Linked DNA regions of Neurospora crassa OR74A. The protein of the gene in region 3 binds, or shares a complex with, the protein of the main gene of each other region. Links are inferred from orthologs where the notes say so. Each region holds a gene or a part of one and is shown on either strand. Other genes may lie near its edges. The genes, in order: NCU17114, NCU04068 and NCU08299.

Region 1 (4,503 bases), on a different chromosome or scaffold from region 3:
GACACGTCCGATGATCGAATACACCAACTGCTTCGGGATTTGAACGGCCGGAACAAAGTGCTTCAGGTTATTGCCCTGAGGCGCTTTAAGCGCACAAGGTACCTCTTAGGTGGTACCTACGTGATCTGCCATGCAACGGGACGAGGCAACCGCAACATTGCCAAATTGCATTGCTTCAGAGCAGGCATCGACATCAAGTAGATAGAGGTAGGTAGATAGGGACTATGCACGCACTGCATGCCACGAGGCTCTCGGGAGTTGAAGATTTTGGCTGCAACTCTCTGTGTGTGGTGTGTGGTTGTGTTCGCGTGGCTTTGCCGAGATCGGGGATGGTGATTCCCGTTGTGGGGAGGAAGGGGAGACAGGGAAATGGGCAGGTGGCGGTCTGGGGATGGAGTCTCAGGATGTAACTTGGATCATGAACTCGAAGCGACAGCAAACACCTGACATTGGGGAATGGGAAAGTGAAGGCAGATGGACAGCTGCGGTTTAAGCAGGTGCCAAGACCGTTGCAACGGAGAGAGTTGCAAACGCGGGGAAAGAAAGTTGGGGAAGTTCGGGACAAGAGGAAGCAACGGTACGTTCGGGAAGGTGAAAGCGACGCAATAAAGCACATCGATCCGCGTCGGTCGGACGAGAAACTCGCGCCGCTTTGGCGAATGGCAAGGGTTTGGTGATCCTTACCTCCGCATGTCGCCGGACCCCACGCCGACTGCTGAACAGGGATTGAATAATTTCTCACGGCCGCGCTCGGCAGCCGGTGACGGGCGGTCTTGAGGGCGTTTGACAGTCCGGCAGCCATCGATGCGATTGTCGATCTCTTTCTGATGAAGTGTACGTATTGATGGATGAGGGGAGGAGGGTCTCGATACTGCCGGGTGGGGGGGGACAGGACTCCCGGAGATGCCGTCAAAGGTGAACGGGAGAAGAACTTGTCGTTGATGGTGCGCTGACTCGCTCCGAGAGTACCGAGAGGACGGGATGTGATTTAGGGCTGAGTCCAGTTTATGTCAGTTGGGTTGGGTTTTCAAACCGCATTCGACACAGCAGACGCAAAGACACTATGAATGGGGGGGGGGGGGGGGGGGGGGAAAGATAGCACGCAGAAGAACACACGAACTTTTTTTTTTTTTTCTTTTTTTCATCAAATGTAGCAACCCAAACTGAACTAATGAGCTCCGAAACAGGAGCACGGAAAGCGGTGTGGTCTAGAACTTTTTGTTACAAAAGAGTCTTCGTTCCGGTCCGGTTTTGCTCCCGCGATCCATTTCTGGCGGGGTCGCAGAGGTCCGAATCGAGACTACAGTCTTGGTACAGTATGGAGAGTCAATCAAACAAATGCCATATTCTGATTCGGACTGCTATCCGCCAGACGAGGCGGTATCGCTGAGCTGTTTCGTAGCCGCCAAGATAAGCTGCTGCTGTGCTGTGCTGCCTGACAAGCCAACGTTAAATCCGGGCCGTTGTATTCTACCTCTAGAGGTAGCTGCGGCATGTGTAGGACCAGTGGACTATATCTAGTATCCAGGAACTATCCTTTTCGTCGACTTACACAGTTCCCTTCCAGCGCCTTGTTGGCGGGACGGGCATGATTACAGCCACAGTGCTGTCAACGGTCACCATGTTGAAATTACGGTACACAAATATCAAATTTATGTTCTTGAATACATCTCTCTCAGTGTACAAGCCCAGCAAAGGTGTTGATGTTGTCAATAAATTTGTGTGAGATGTTCTGATAGATATCACGCCCGTTGTGTTTTGGCCAAGGCCTCTGGGGTTCCTCGGTGAGCTCTCAGCTCACTACACTCAGCTTGTTCCTCACCTTGCCTTCACCGATCCTACAAGTACACTAAACCGCGGGCAGCCACCTGCCAAGCCCAGCTAGGAGCGCACACGACCCACCCACAGCCCCACCACGGCCCACGCACCCCCGGCGGGCCGGCAGGCAAAATCTACAATCGCAATCGCAAGAAGCGCGGACGACCCGACGTCGATTGGAGAGCTTCCGGCGCAAAGACCGTGCTCCGTGAATCCGCCCGCCCTCCGCCCGCAGTTTGCGAACCTCTCCGTCCGGACGAGCCCCAGCCCGTCGCCCGTCGCCGTACCGCACTTGATCCAGTCCAGTCCAGGCGCGCCGTTGCACACCACAACAGCGCAACAAAAGTCGTTCAACATGGCGAAGAAGGGTAATCGACTCCATCCTCACCCGTGTGTCTGCAATTACTGCTTTGTTTTCCTAAAGGGAAAAGCGATGCAATGGGGAAACCGGAAACCGAAAACAGAAGACGATAGTTGCTGATAGGTAAACAACAAACAGCCAAGTCCCGCATCATTAACGTGCGCCTGATCTCAATGGCCATGACGGGTTATTTCTACACCTTCACCCGTCCCCGTACCTCGCTGCCTATGAGCATGCTGAAATACGATCCGATCGGTATGCGCATATCCTCTCCCCTCATTCCTATCTACCTCTTTCGCTTCCAACCACCTACATGATTGATTCGGCGGACACGACGACACGGGCATGATATGGAACTCTTTTTGGTTGCGGGCTTTCTCGATTTGCACGATTCGAAACACCCCAATACGCTTCGTCGAACGGACCTTGGGAAGCTCGCTTGGGACTGGGACTAGGACTGGGATCAGGCTGGGACGCAACAGTTCAAAGACTCGGACGATGGCATAACGTACGGACCTTCGAGAAAAGAAAAAAAAAAAAGCAACCAGCCAACCAACCGGCCAACAGAGAAGAGAGGAGGGGACGGAAGAAACACTTGCCTACGACAGACAATTTTTCCCAATCACGGATCTCGAAGAGGAAGGAATACCTACTAACCCTTTCGCCTCTCCACCATAGTTCGCCGCAAGGTCCTCTTCCTCGAACAGAAACGCAAGGGCAGGTCATAGATCGTTACTCGCCCCCGGGCCTAACGACCGTCGAACGACCGAGAGCCAGAGCGAGAACGCGGAGCCTGCGATACGGAATCAAAGAGCGTAGCGGCGAAGCAGCGACAAGTAAAAAGCTACAGCACCCCCTCCACGGATTACCACGTCACACCAAGTTACGATTTCGACCGGGTTGTGTTTCAAGCAGATCACCAGCAGACAATGGCCAGTGCTGGCGAGTGAGTTGGAGCTGGAGCTGGAGAGGGGGGTGGACCGGACCGGAACTGGACTGGATATATGGAGAAGAGAGGCGCAAGAATAAGATGGGGTCCCTCGTTCCATCCAGTCTCTGGTCGTGTATTATTACTGTACCACCGATCCATCAGTATATAACATCACCCTGTGAGTTATGGATTGGCACCATGGAGCGTTTGTTGCTTCTTCGCTCTACCGATGGGCCAGGTTGATTAGAGAATGTACAAGTCAAGAGATAAGCACAACGCCCCTCGGCCGTCGGCAATGCTGGGCGTGACCCAGGTTCACTGCCAAGTGGCTCTCCCTTCTCTTGTGTTGTGTGGTAAGGATAACTCTTCTATCGCGATCAGACAGTCTGTCATGACACCTCGACATCTTTGACTTTTCTTGCCATCGTACATCGCTTTATCTCATCTTTCTATATTTTCGTGGAAATCAAACTTTTCATTAGTCACAAGACCCGTCTCCCAACATTTTACAGGCGTTCTTTCACACTCTTCTCGTCGTATACATATTGAATCTCAATTCATTCGAAACACAGTCTCCAATCCACACAAATACGCCATGCATCGACATATGGATCATAACTTATTCCCAGGCGGAGGCAGAGGCAAGTCATCTCCGTCTTCTTTGTTTGCATTCTGCGAGAGGGTCATGGAGTCTTGGGTCTCATCATTGGCGCCCCCGTATCGCGAAAGTGGCTGGGACTGAGACCGTGATTGGGACTCGCCGTTCGTTTGACTGACCGAGTTGGTGTTTTCCGCAGGATCAACGGACCTTCTACTGCCATAAGTTCGAGTCGGTGCTGATCTGGGTGGCAAAAACCTGTTGGCACCGTTCATGACCTCGGGTAGGAGGCCAAATGAAGGCTTGAAGTTGATGGAAATCAATCCGTTTTCAGAAGGCTCAGAGCCTTCGCTCAACTTATCCAGGGCGTGACGGCTTCGGTAAATCCGTTGTGGTCGTACTATTCCGCGAGTTCCACGTTCATCTGAGCCGTTAGGAAGCGATGCTGAAGCTGGGGTAGAAGTAATGTCTTTGGTCGTACCCTTTCCCCCGGCCCCTTTCGAGTATCTCCCGCGCCGAAGAACTACAGGAGAATCCACGATATCATCAGGTTGTTTCCGCTTGTTAGGTCTTCCTGAAGCAGAGGCATCTGAAAAGTGGCCGGACGTAACTTCATGAGACACGGGATTTGGCTCCAAAAAAGCACCCGCACTTTCAGGGGGAGTTGCTGTGAAGGTTTCAAGTGGTCCGATTCTCCCAAACGCACCACTCCCCGAAGAATTGTCTATCAATTGTTCCCGAGATGCACTACGCGTCATTCTCTTCATGATCGATTTAGGAGGTGCAGCCTCTCTC
Region 2 (4,809 bases), on a different chromosome or scaffold from region 3:
ATCTGACTCAGGGCCGGTTCACGGAACTTGGCACATTGCGCCGGGATATTGAACCTGCCTCGCTCCAAATCACATATCGCTAGACTGGCAGCGTAGGAATCAACAAAGTCGCGAACTTGCCGACCAGTGTCTGTGAGGATTGTGGCGTCGTTCTTTCCGTCTACCAGCTGGCAGTTGTTGACTAGGAGTCGGGCGGCCACACGATGGCAAAACGGTTCTGATTCGAGTTCTTGAAGTTCACTTAGGGCGACGGCGTAGATATTTGGTAGGCGTGAGGACGCTCGAAGCAGATCCGAAGGCTGGATGTTGCGGTCGATGTTGACTTGATGGTCGGCTGTGTTGCGGTCATATTATTAGTCAAGCCCTGCAGGCAGTGCTCTGATATTACTTACGAACTGCCACTTTTCTTTCACCTCCCCACGAAAAGGCCAGAGAAGGTGTAGCTGTAACGGCACAGAGAGCCGTGAAGAGAAGCTTCCTGGCCATAGTTGTCATGTAAGTGCAATGCGACAGGCTGATGATGATATACTGATAAAGTCAGATGCGTCCAGAAGAGTGCCGTCGAAGGGACTTCGGCAGTAAGAAATGGAGATTCTGGCAATATTGGTAGTGCAATTTTGGCGATCGAAGTTTGTGGCCATGCAACTGAAAATTCTGTGGTGTTTTTGAAGAGAAGGAGCGATTCAAGAGAGGGAAGGAAGGAAGGTGTATGAGGGTAAGTTGGCGATCGCGACTGCCCAGGATAAGAGAAGCGGACTTGAATTTAGCGGGACAAGAATCACAGGATTGTGAAACCGCGAAAAGGTTTCGTGTGAAATGACTTCACTTGAAGTTCGCATCGAATATGACTGTGATTGTCTGCCGAGCTCGACTTTTGCTGGTTCTTAATCGTCTGATGTGACGCTGTCCTCTCCAACAGAAGCGAGCCTAGACAAAGATTTGGGCTGTAGACCACTTGTCTTGACATCACTGGAATCTGCATCTTTTCATCCGGTATCGAGAAAGTGCAAACAGCTCGCTTGAGACAGTTTGGAAGACTTCGACCGTGACGGGTGTTCTGGGTGGTGATGACTATCGTGAGGTTGGCATCCGTAAAGTCGTCATCGGAAAGCTGGACGATTGTCGAACGGGAGATTAATTCAACATTCAATCTGAATATTGTGAAACAATATGTTCCATCGAGTAAACTCTACACTTCCACGCCCTGTGCCATTTTCTTTTTGAAGATTTCTTACTCGAGATGAATGATGTCGGATGGAATAACATCTGTTGGTGTTCGTCGTTGTTTCTTAGCCCAAGCGAATAGCAGCAGCGAGACTATGCGGATACGACCCTAACCCTGTTGTATTTACAGCCAATCACTAGCTGCATTGCTGTGCCGCGTCAGGTCCGATACATTTTTTGGAGCTCTCCGAAGATCCACTCGGTTCATCCCACCACCCGGCCGGCTTGCCATTGACTCGGTGCTGCCCTTGCGACTGCCAGAACCTCCGAACTGGAGCGCCGCGTCTCTTCGCCAATTCCGGTTCCGCATCGTGACGACGGCCACCACCCTGCCGACGACGACGACACTCACCACGATGTTCGCCCCAAGCCGAAGGAGGGTCCTTGAGGCCGTTGCCTCTTCCTCATCTTCTCCCGTCGTCACACTCCCCGGCTTCCTGGTGCCCGCCTTCCAACAGACTGCCGGTGCCGCCGCCCGGCGCAACTTTTCCGCGACGACAACCCGCCCGTCCAAGCTCGGCCGCACCCCGCTCAGTATCCCTCCTGGCGTCGAGATCACCATTGGCGAGCCCTTCGTCAAGCGCGACATGACGCAGTGGAAGCAGCAGCCTAAGCGCAAGATTACGGTGCAGGGCCCGTTGGGTTAGTTTGTTCTATTGTAAAATCGACTTGGCAAAAGGACCAGATGGGTGTTTTATTTGAGGATACGCAACGAAACTGGAGCGGGCGCAACAGATGGGCTGGGAGAGGCCCGAGAGAGAACGTTGTTTATGGGTGTTTGCGCGAGAGTGCAAAGGGGACTAGGATGGGAGCAGAGCAGCTGGCTGACTTGTTGCACGTGTGCGTGTGCTTTTTCACAGGACAACTCGAGATGGACATTCCCGACTTCATCAAGATCGACCACGACGCCGAGGCAAGGAGAGCGACCCTCAGCGTAGCGAACCGGGACGAGAAGGAGCAGAGAGAGATGTGGGGTATGGCAAACACCTTCCTTGTCTTGGAGAATGTGGAAAGTTACGGGCGGCCAGTCAGCTGACGATTTCGAATCTTTCTTGGACAAAACAGGAACAACATGGGCGTACCTCAACCGCTTCATTATGGGTGTATCAGAAGGTCACACGGCCGTGTTGCGTTTGGTCGGTATCGGTTACAGAGCTACAATCGACACCCGCCCCGAGAAGGAGGAATACCCCGGCCAGCAGTTCGTCTGCCTCAAGCTCGGTTTCTCCCACCCCGTCGAGATGGGCGTTCCCAAGGGCATGAAGGCCAGCACGCCGCAGCCGACAAGAATCCTGCTTGAGGGCATCAACAGAGAGCAGGTCATGACCTTCGCCGCTGATATCAGGAGGTGGCGTGTACCGGAACCCTACAAGGGTAAGGGTATCTTTGTCAACGGCGAGACCATCAAGTTGAAGCAGAAGAAGATCAAATAGAGGACGCGCGGTGGGTTTTGGTGGCTGATATGGTTGTTGATGAGGATAAGGGGGGAATATTGTACATTTAGTCTATTATTTTTTTTGGCACACACATGGCCTCATAACGGCCCGATACCTGCCATAACCTGTACACTATGACACCGAGGCTTTACTGCTGCCCGAGAACTTCCTGAACGACCTTGATGACCTGGTCGTGGACCGCAGCAGGCGCCGCAATGACACCCTTGTTTTCAGCCAACGTGCGGCCGACGCTGAAATCCAGGCGGTTTCCACTCACGTCGGTAACCTGACCACCAGCCTCACGCACAATCAGATCTCCAGCAGCGTGATCCCAGATCTTCTCCTGGTAAGACTTGGAAGTAGGCAGACGGAGGTAGATATCACCCGCGCCGCGAGCAATAGAGCCGTACTTGGCCTGGGAATCCATGCGCACACTAGGCTTGGTGATCCCGAGCTTCTGCGCAATCTGTCCAGCCACGCCCTGATCCGAGTGACCCGCCTCCACGCTCTCGCAGAAGCTGGCGTTGGACATCTCTGTAATAGGCTTCATCGCAATGGACTTGCCCTCCGCAAGACCGGCGGTGCCCAGGGGTCTGCTAGTCGCGCCTTGGCCCTGAACGGCCGAGAAGATGACACCCCGGCCCTCATCGGTCGCATTGGTGCCGATATCCGCAGCCAACGGCGCAGCGTCGTCCACAGGCAGGTTCGGGCAACCGAGAACACCGACCTTGACGTCACCGTCCACCATCAGTCCCAAGCACACGGCATACTGTCCACCGCGCAGGAAGCCCTTGGTGCCGTCGATGGGGTCGATAGTCCATATCCTGCCCTTGGCGCCGCCCTTGCTGTTGCCCTGGTCGATGATCTCCAGCATCGCGTCGGCATCCTTGATGGCGCCGCCAAGGAGTTGCTCGGCAGCCTCATCGTCAAGCTTGGTGGACTTGACGAGCTCCCAGATCTGGTCCCGCAGGGGGGTGTCCTCGCGCAGCTGAGCGGCCTCCTCCTCAGCCACAATCTCGTCCGAAGGAAAGTTGGCCTTGAGGGCGCTGATGATGAGCGCCTGAGCGCCAAAGTCGCCAATGGTCACAGGGGACTTGTCGTCCTTGGAAACGGTGCCCTTGGCCTTCTCGTGGAAGACGCGCTTGGTGAGGCGGGCGGCCCGCTGGACGGCGAGCTGAGCTACCTCGAGCTCCTTTGCGTACTGGGAAGAGGCCATCTTCTGTGTAGATGTAGTTGTAATGGTTGAGCGGCTGGTTGCTGTGATTGTGTTGGCACTGCCAGTCAAATGGCTCGCAATGAGGGAAAGCCGGGGAAAGGAGATGCGGGAACTGAAGATAGCCAGGATGAGGACGATGAGGGAGAAAACGAAGAGAATTTTGGAGTAGAAAGTATGGGACGATGCCTTTTTCTGCTGTTTGATCTTATCCACAGTCATACAGCCGCGAGAGGATCGATAAACCTCGGGGAATTTTCAATCCGTAACCGGAATACGTATTCAGTCCAAGTTGTTGAGTGGTTGAACTTGGGATTCTGGCTGTCAAATGTTCCCCGCACTGATTCTGTAGCGGCGAAGCTGTTGACGTATGACTGCCCTTTTTGTCTTTTTTCCCACTTCAATTGGTTCCCCGCAATGCCACCAACCGCTCGCTATCTCCACAAATGCAGACATGAGAGTCTCAAAATCTTTGTTTACTTTGATGAAATGCTTTACCTATTTCTTGATGTTTCTTTTTCGATTTGGCACTCCACTCTTGAGAGAATGCCCGTCAAAACAGCAATGATGACACGGCTCGGTTCAGGGTCCTTTCCATGTTAAACATGAGCACCCACGGATAAGCTAGGTAGCTAGCCCCGAACTCGGAGAGAGCTTCTCTTTCGACTCCAATATTCATCACATTTTGTGGGATTTCTATCTTCACTTCCGCCGACGACACTCAGACGGTCCCGATGACCTCGAAGCGAACTGCGCAGCAACAGTAAATTCTGCACCCTGTTATCAACGAAAAGGGAACCGGACCGAAAGTCCAACCCTTTACATTCAACGAACCAACTGAGCTCCGAAAAGCTGCAGCATCCATGCCGCAGCGTGCCAAGCCAAGTGGCTTGCTTGGATCAACTCCCATTCAGCAACTCAAAGCGCTTCTGGAGA
Region 3 (4,809 bases):
GAATCAACGTGAAGATGACGGAACCACTCAGCTCCTACCAGTCAGTATATATGAAGTTCACTGCGAACATAGATAGGCCAATTCTCAGATATGTTGCCATTGAGTGTCCGGGAAGCGGTAAGGCAGAGATCGGGAGCAAATCAGGCTACATGGAAGGTAGAATGGACTTATCGACGGCAGTTCCGATCCGGGATGATCGGCTTCGGACGCGCGCCGGCCCAGCTCCATCCGGTGCGGGTCCCAGGTCGCCGTGTCCGCTGTCTTGATGCCGAGTCATGAACCGACCGAAAAGCTCCGCACAGCCAGGAACTGAGGTCCGCCGAGGCCCACCTCGATTAAATAGACAGTCGAGGTTTCCACAGCAGCTTACCTTGTTGCTTGCGTTTACACCAAAACATGCGAAGAACATTGTTAAGGCATGTTCACGATTCAAAGTCATGGAAGGTGGGCTCTTCTCTGTGAGTTCACTAGTATTCGCCAATAGTACGAAACGGTAAGAATAGAGGTAGTTTCCTCTATAATCCATTACAGAACTGATCCACATCAAAGTTAGCTTTATTCACGACGTAGCCAGGCTCTGGAGCACCAACGCAAGACGGCCAGCGGAGGGTAACCGACGTTGAATGTATTCCGAATATTGCATTACTACCACCAACCGGCCGGCCTCAACCAAGCCAAGATGTCCTGTTATTCCATCAAGCCTTTGGAAGCCATGTACTGTATGACCAAACGGCCGGGGTGGCAGGGCCTATGCCCAAATTTACTTTTTCTCCTGTGTCGTCCCGTTCTCCTTTTGCGCCCGCTCATACTCGATAATCTGTCTGCTCCAGCTAGTGGAGGTAATATCGGTTGCGTCAGCTTAAGAACATCCCCGCGGTCTGCGCTCGCGGAAAACGTTACGCATGTATAAAAATTTGGATGGGGGTCTGTCTGCCAGGACATACTATCTGCTGGGATAAAAGCGACCAGGCTCGGGCATCTTGTGACGGTACTCTTTCTCGGCGCTAAGCTTCCAGACTGCGGCAGTGATGAGGAAGACGACGCCACCGAGAACAGCCGTGTTCTTCTTCCAGTTGGCCGGCTGGGCGTACCAACCACCCGAAGGCGACCAGACGTGTTTGGGGTAGCTGGAGTGAAGGGCGAGGCAACGATTAGGACGGATCCATGACACAACGCAGGCTGGGTTGGACAGAATGCGCGGAGGGTTTGCGCATGTCGAGGGCGATGAAACTCACGGAACTTGGGGACCGCCGCCCTATAGACAGGAAAAATAGAGAGTTAGCAGACACAAAACATAGTAGTGATGATGGCTATTCTAAGCAATCGGGTGGATACGCACCATTGTGATGAAGTTTTGGGATATGTGGTGAGGTAGGTTGGACGTTCAACGAGGAATGATTCTTTCCACCTCGCAGTTAAGCAAGATCGGTTTGTACTGTCAACTTTGCGATGCACTGCGAACGACGGCACAATAGTGGTGATGCTTCAGCGGGAACAATTGGATAGAAGGACGAATGATGAATCCGCCTACAGGCTGACGAGGGGCTAAATCGCATCAACCATCCAGGCCTGAAAGTCACCATGTCACTCGTCCTAACTGGGGCCGAGGGCGCATGCGACAGACGGGCGGCGGGCGGCGGGCGGGCAGCTCCCGCTTGTCCACCACAGTGCACCGTATGCTAAACAGACAGCGCAGATAGTGGATTGGGGTCGAAGATGGATCTTGTGGGGACCCTCACTGGGCCAACAACGAATCATGTCAGCCGGCTTTTATGTCTCGGTCTTGGGGGAGTAACCCCTGCGCTTGAGCACTGATTCACGGCTCTGGGTGGTGGGCTTGTCTAGTGTACGGGTGGTGAGCGTTCAGATTGGAGAACTTTTTTTTTCTACCCGTGTTCGACGGCCGGCCGAGTCTGAACGAGAACCCATCCGATCAACGCGCGACTCCGACCGGGATCCCGAGTAGCTTCCCACCCCGCGACCACCGGCTCACCACCTGCCCGTCCGATTTCCCTCACTCCATCCTTTTCTTGGCAGGGCCTCCAGACGGCGCACACTTACGGAACCTGGGCCCCAGCACGTCAACACCCGGTTGTCGAGCCGACCATCACCCATCAAATATATCGCCCATGAAGAGGATAGCAACGCCCAGCTTGACGAGCCGGCTGCTCGTCGCCGCTCGCTCCGGAGTGTCGCCCGCCACTGCCGCCATCCGATCCCGATCTGCAATCTCGGTGCGATCGCAATCGACAGCTGCCCTCGCTCAGCACGATGCATCCCACGATCTCAACAATGATCGGTTCCCCCCGCTTGAGCCCCTCCCCCCCGCGGCCGAGTCCCTACCGTCGCCCCTCCCCGAACGGGCCTTGACCTCGGCCAAACTGGCCGCCCTCCACGCCCGTTTGAATCTTTCTCCCAAGATCCCCTTACAGACATTGGCAAGGACACTGGTCGACGCCTCGGCCGACGAGAACCCGCAGTTCAACAACGCCAACCTCGCCTTCGTTGGCCAGACCCTCATCAACTACCATATTGCCGAATGGCTCCTCTGCAAATACCCCCGTCTACCCCAGGGAATTCTCTTCAGTGCCATGAAGGCTTATGCCGGACCGAAGCCCTTGCTCCAGATTGCGCGGTCATGGGGTGTTGATACCGCCGCGGTGCCCGGCGGCGAGGTGGATCCCGGTCTTCTGCAGTTCGATGCCCTTAAGCCCGGCGTCGCCATCACAAATTTCGGCTACAAGCGTACAGAGCTCGCCTACCTCGAGAAGTTCAAGTGGCGTCGCGGTATGGCCTCGCGTGTCGTTCTCGACGACGACTTTGGTGATGTCGTGCGCAGCGACCCCAAGGTTGCCGCCGATCTGGAGAAGGCGATGGAAGAGCAGGATCAGGACAAGACTCCCGACGAGGAGGAGGCCGAGATGGTCGCTAATGAGCAGGACCAGGACGTGAGCTACGACCGCTACGGCAACCCCGACACCCGGGCCGCTGCTGAGCGGGCCCACGCCTACTTTGTGCGCGCCGTCGTCGGTGCCATCTACGCCCACTGCGGCCGCGAGGCCGCCAAGGCCTTTGTCAAGGCGCACATCATGTCGCGCACCCTCGACATTGCCAAGCTCTTCGAATTCAAGTACCCCACCCGCGAGCTCGCCGCGCTCTGCGCCCGTGAGGATTTCGAGCCCCCCGTGGCTCGTCTCCTCTCCGAGACGGGTCGCCAGTCGCGCACCCCCGTTTTTGTTGTCGGTATATACAGCGGCAGCGACAAGCTCGGCGAGGGCGCCGCCTCCTCTCTCGACCACGCCCGCTTCAAGGCCGCCATGAACGCCCTGAAGGCTTGGTATCTCTACAGCCCTGGCGAGAACCCTCGGGTACCCAGTGATATGCTGGAGGAGGGTGCCAAGCCCTGGACGCCAGCATACATTGATATGGGTGAGGTTATCTCCCGCTAAATGAGGAGGCTGAAACACGGAGCATGGCGGCGGACAGTACGGCAGGGCAGTAGAGAACTTAGGAAGTGTATGAAACGAAAGGTAAAAAGAGAGTCGCAGATGGCCTGCTTACACTCTCGGTTTTATTGGTTGTGCGGCCCATCAACTCGGGATAGGTTCCCCTTGTGGAAATCGACGCAAGAGGATCGAGAGGGAAACAAAACAACGAGTGGATTTTGTTGGTGTGGTCTAAAAGCTCAGCTTACCTTTCCACTCTTGTCCTGTCCTGTTGAGAGCGGGCAATTTCCGTCCTGCGAAGGAAGGGGATATTAAATGGATGGTCCTCTCCCATCCAGTCACTCCCTTTCCTTCCATTGTTTCTTGCTCTTTTTGCCAAAGACGAGATGTTGTATACAGATTTGCGCGCAACGGACATACATGTACACACACGCACACCCCCGCCACATATACCAATACAAAGGGGGGTTGGGACGGAACGGGGAATGAAGAGGGTCTGGATGGTGGCTGCTTGGCTCTGCTTTCGACAAAGAGAGACACAACCCTCGTCGGGGTGGCATCTGTGTCCTTCTTTCTCAGTGTATAATACCAAAAAAGTAGCCGAGGCCAGGGAGAAGGAAGATCATCGTCTGTATGTGTAGCATTAAGAAGTCAAATTTTTTACGAGGCATCAACGAAGTACATGACATGATAAATCCTTCCTCTACGTATTGACTGCTCTGGCATGAGGAGAAGGCTGTGTAAGAGAGAATATGGTACTACGCAATTTACACGCATTGTACAATTCCAGGATGTGTAAGCCCTTGTTTTGTATAACAAGCATCGTAAAGGAAGAAATGGGAATACGCAACCGGCAAGAGTAAAAGACCGGACGACGAGATCGAGCCTGGAAGTTCCTCCCAAGCTTGCGCGCCTTCCATTCATCCAAACTAGAGGTTGTTTAGTATCTATTTTGCCTTGTGCTTTCTTCACATTGCTCTTGTTTATCTTATACGTGAGAGGAAGATGAAGTTGGTGAGAGGGGAGATGAAATGTGGACTGTTCTCTCTGTAGTTGCGTCCTCACTTTCTCACCCCCTCCTGGTACTTTGTCACGACGTTTCCAAAAACACGTTCATCAGAACTTGCGACCTGATGCAAAGGGATCAATGAAGGAGACTTTGACAACTATAGAATTGGCATATTGTTAAGGTACAGTGGTCTAAGATAATAGGGTGCACCAAGGAGAACATGGAGTGCGCGTAGGTTTTCTCCTACTGGTTAAAAAAACACACATTAAGTTTCTGTTACTCATCTCTTAATCTCTTCGGCATTGTCTATCCTCTTCATCCTCATTTTGGGGTATAACCATCCGTCATCTCATT

The links.
Region 1: NCU08299 (region 3) and NCU17114 share a complex: the UniProt entries of both Saccharomyces cerevisiae proteins name them as parts of the mitochondrial large ribosomal subunit. The link is inferred for Neurospora crassa OR74A from reciprocal best matches to the Saccharomyces cerevisiae genes MRPL3 and MRPL39.
Region 2: NCU08299 (region 3) and NCU04068 share a complex: the UniProt entries of both Saccharomyces cerevisiae proteins name them as parts of the mitochondrial large ribosomal subunit. The link is inferred for Neurospora crassa OR74A from reciprocal best matches to the Saccharomyces cerevisiae genes MRPL3 and MRPL6.

Annotation. Positions count from the first base shown.
Region 1 is NC_026506.1:2,292,011-2,296,513, forward strand, and holds NCU17114 (hypothetical protein), read left to right. Parts: upstream 1-1,884; 5' UTR 1,885-2,173; coding exon 2,174-2,186; intron 2,187-2,317; coding exon 2,318-2,434; intron 2,435-2,857; coding exon 2,858-2,907; 3' UTR 2,908-3,413; downstream 3,414-4,503. Other genes in the region: ala (alanine aminotransferase), read right to left, coding at 685-802; NCU03974 (hypothetical protein), read right to left, coding at 3,723-4,503. UniProt on the Saccharomyces cerevisiae protein: Component of the mitochondrial ribosome (mitoribosome), a dedicated translation machinery responsible for the synthesis of mitochondrial genome-encoded proteins, including at least some of the essential transmembrane subunits of the mitochondrial respiratory chain.
Region 2 is NC_026506.1:2,634,501-2,639,309, forward strand, and holds NCU04068 (mitochondrial 54S ribosomal protein YmL16), read left to right. Parts: upstream 1-1,395; 5' UTR 1,396-1,580; coding exon 1,581-1,866; intron 1,867-2,084; coding exon 2,085-2,198; intron 2,199-2,289; coding exon 2,290-2,657; 3' UTR 2,658-2,808; coding exon of another isoform or gene 2,809-4,095; 3' UTR 4,096-4,202; downstream 4,203-4,809. Other genes in the region: NCU04067 (hypothetical protein), read right to left, coding at 1-334, 393-486; NCU04069 (3'-phosphoadenosine 5'-phosphatase), read right to left, coding at 2,809-4,095. UniProt on the Saccharomyces cerevisiae protein: Component of the mitochondrial ribosome (mitoribosome), a dedicated translation machinery responsible for the synthesis of mitochondrial genome-encoded proteins, including at least some of the essential transmembrane subunits of the mitochondrial respiratory chain.
Region 3 is NC_026504.1:2,487,765-2,492,573, forward strand, and holds NCU08299 (mitochondrial 54S ribosomal protein YmL3), read left to right. Parts: upstream 1-1,839; 5' UTR 1,840-2,129; coding exon 2,130-3,449; 3' UTR 3,450-4,228; downstream 4,229-4,809. Other genes in the region: NCU08300 (uncharacterized protein), read right to left, coding at 761-830, 945-1,127, 1,236-1,255, 1,340-1,342. UniProt on the Saccharomyces cerevisiae protein: Component of the mitochondrial ribosome (mitoribosome), a dedicated translation machinery responsible for the synthesis of mitochondrial genome-encoded proteins, including at least some of the essential transmembrane subunits of the mitochondrial respiratory chain.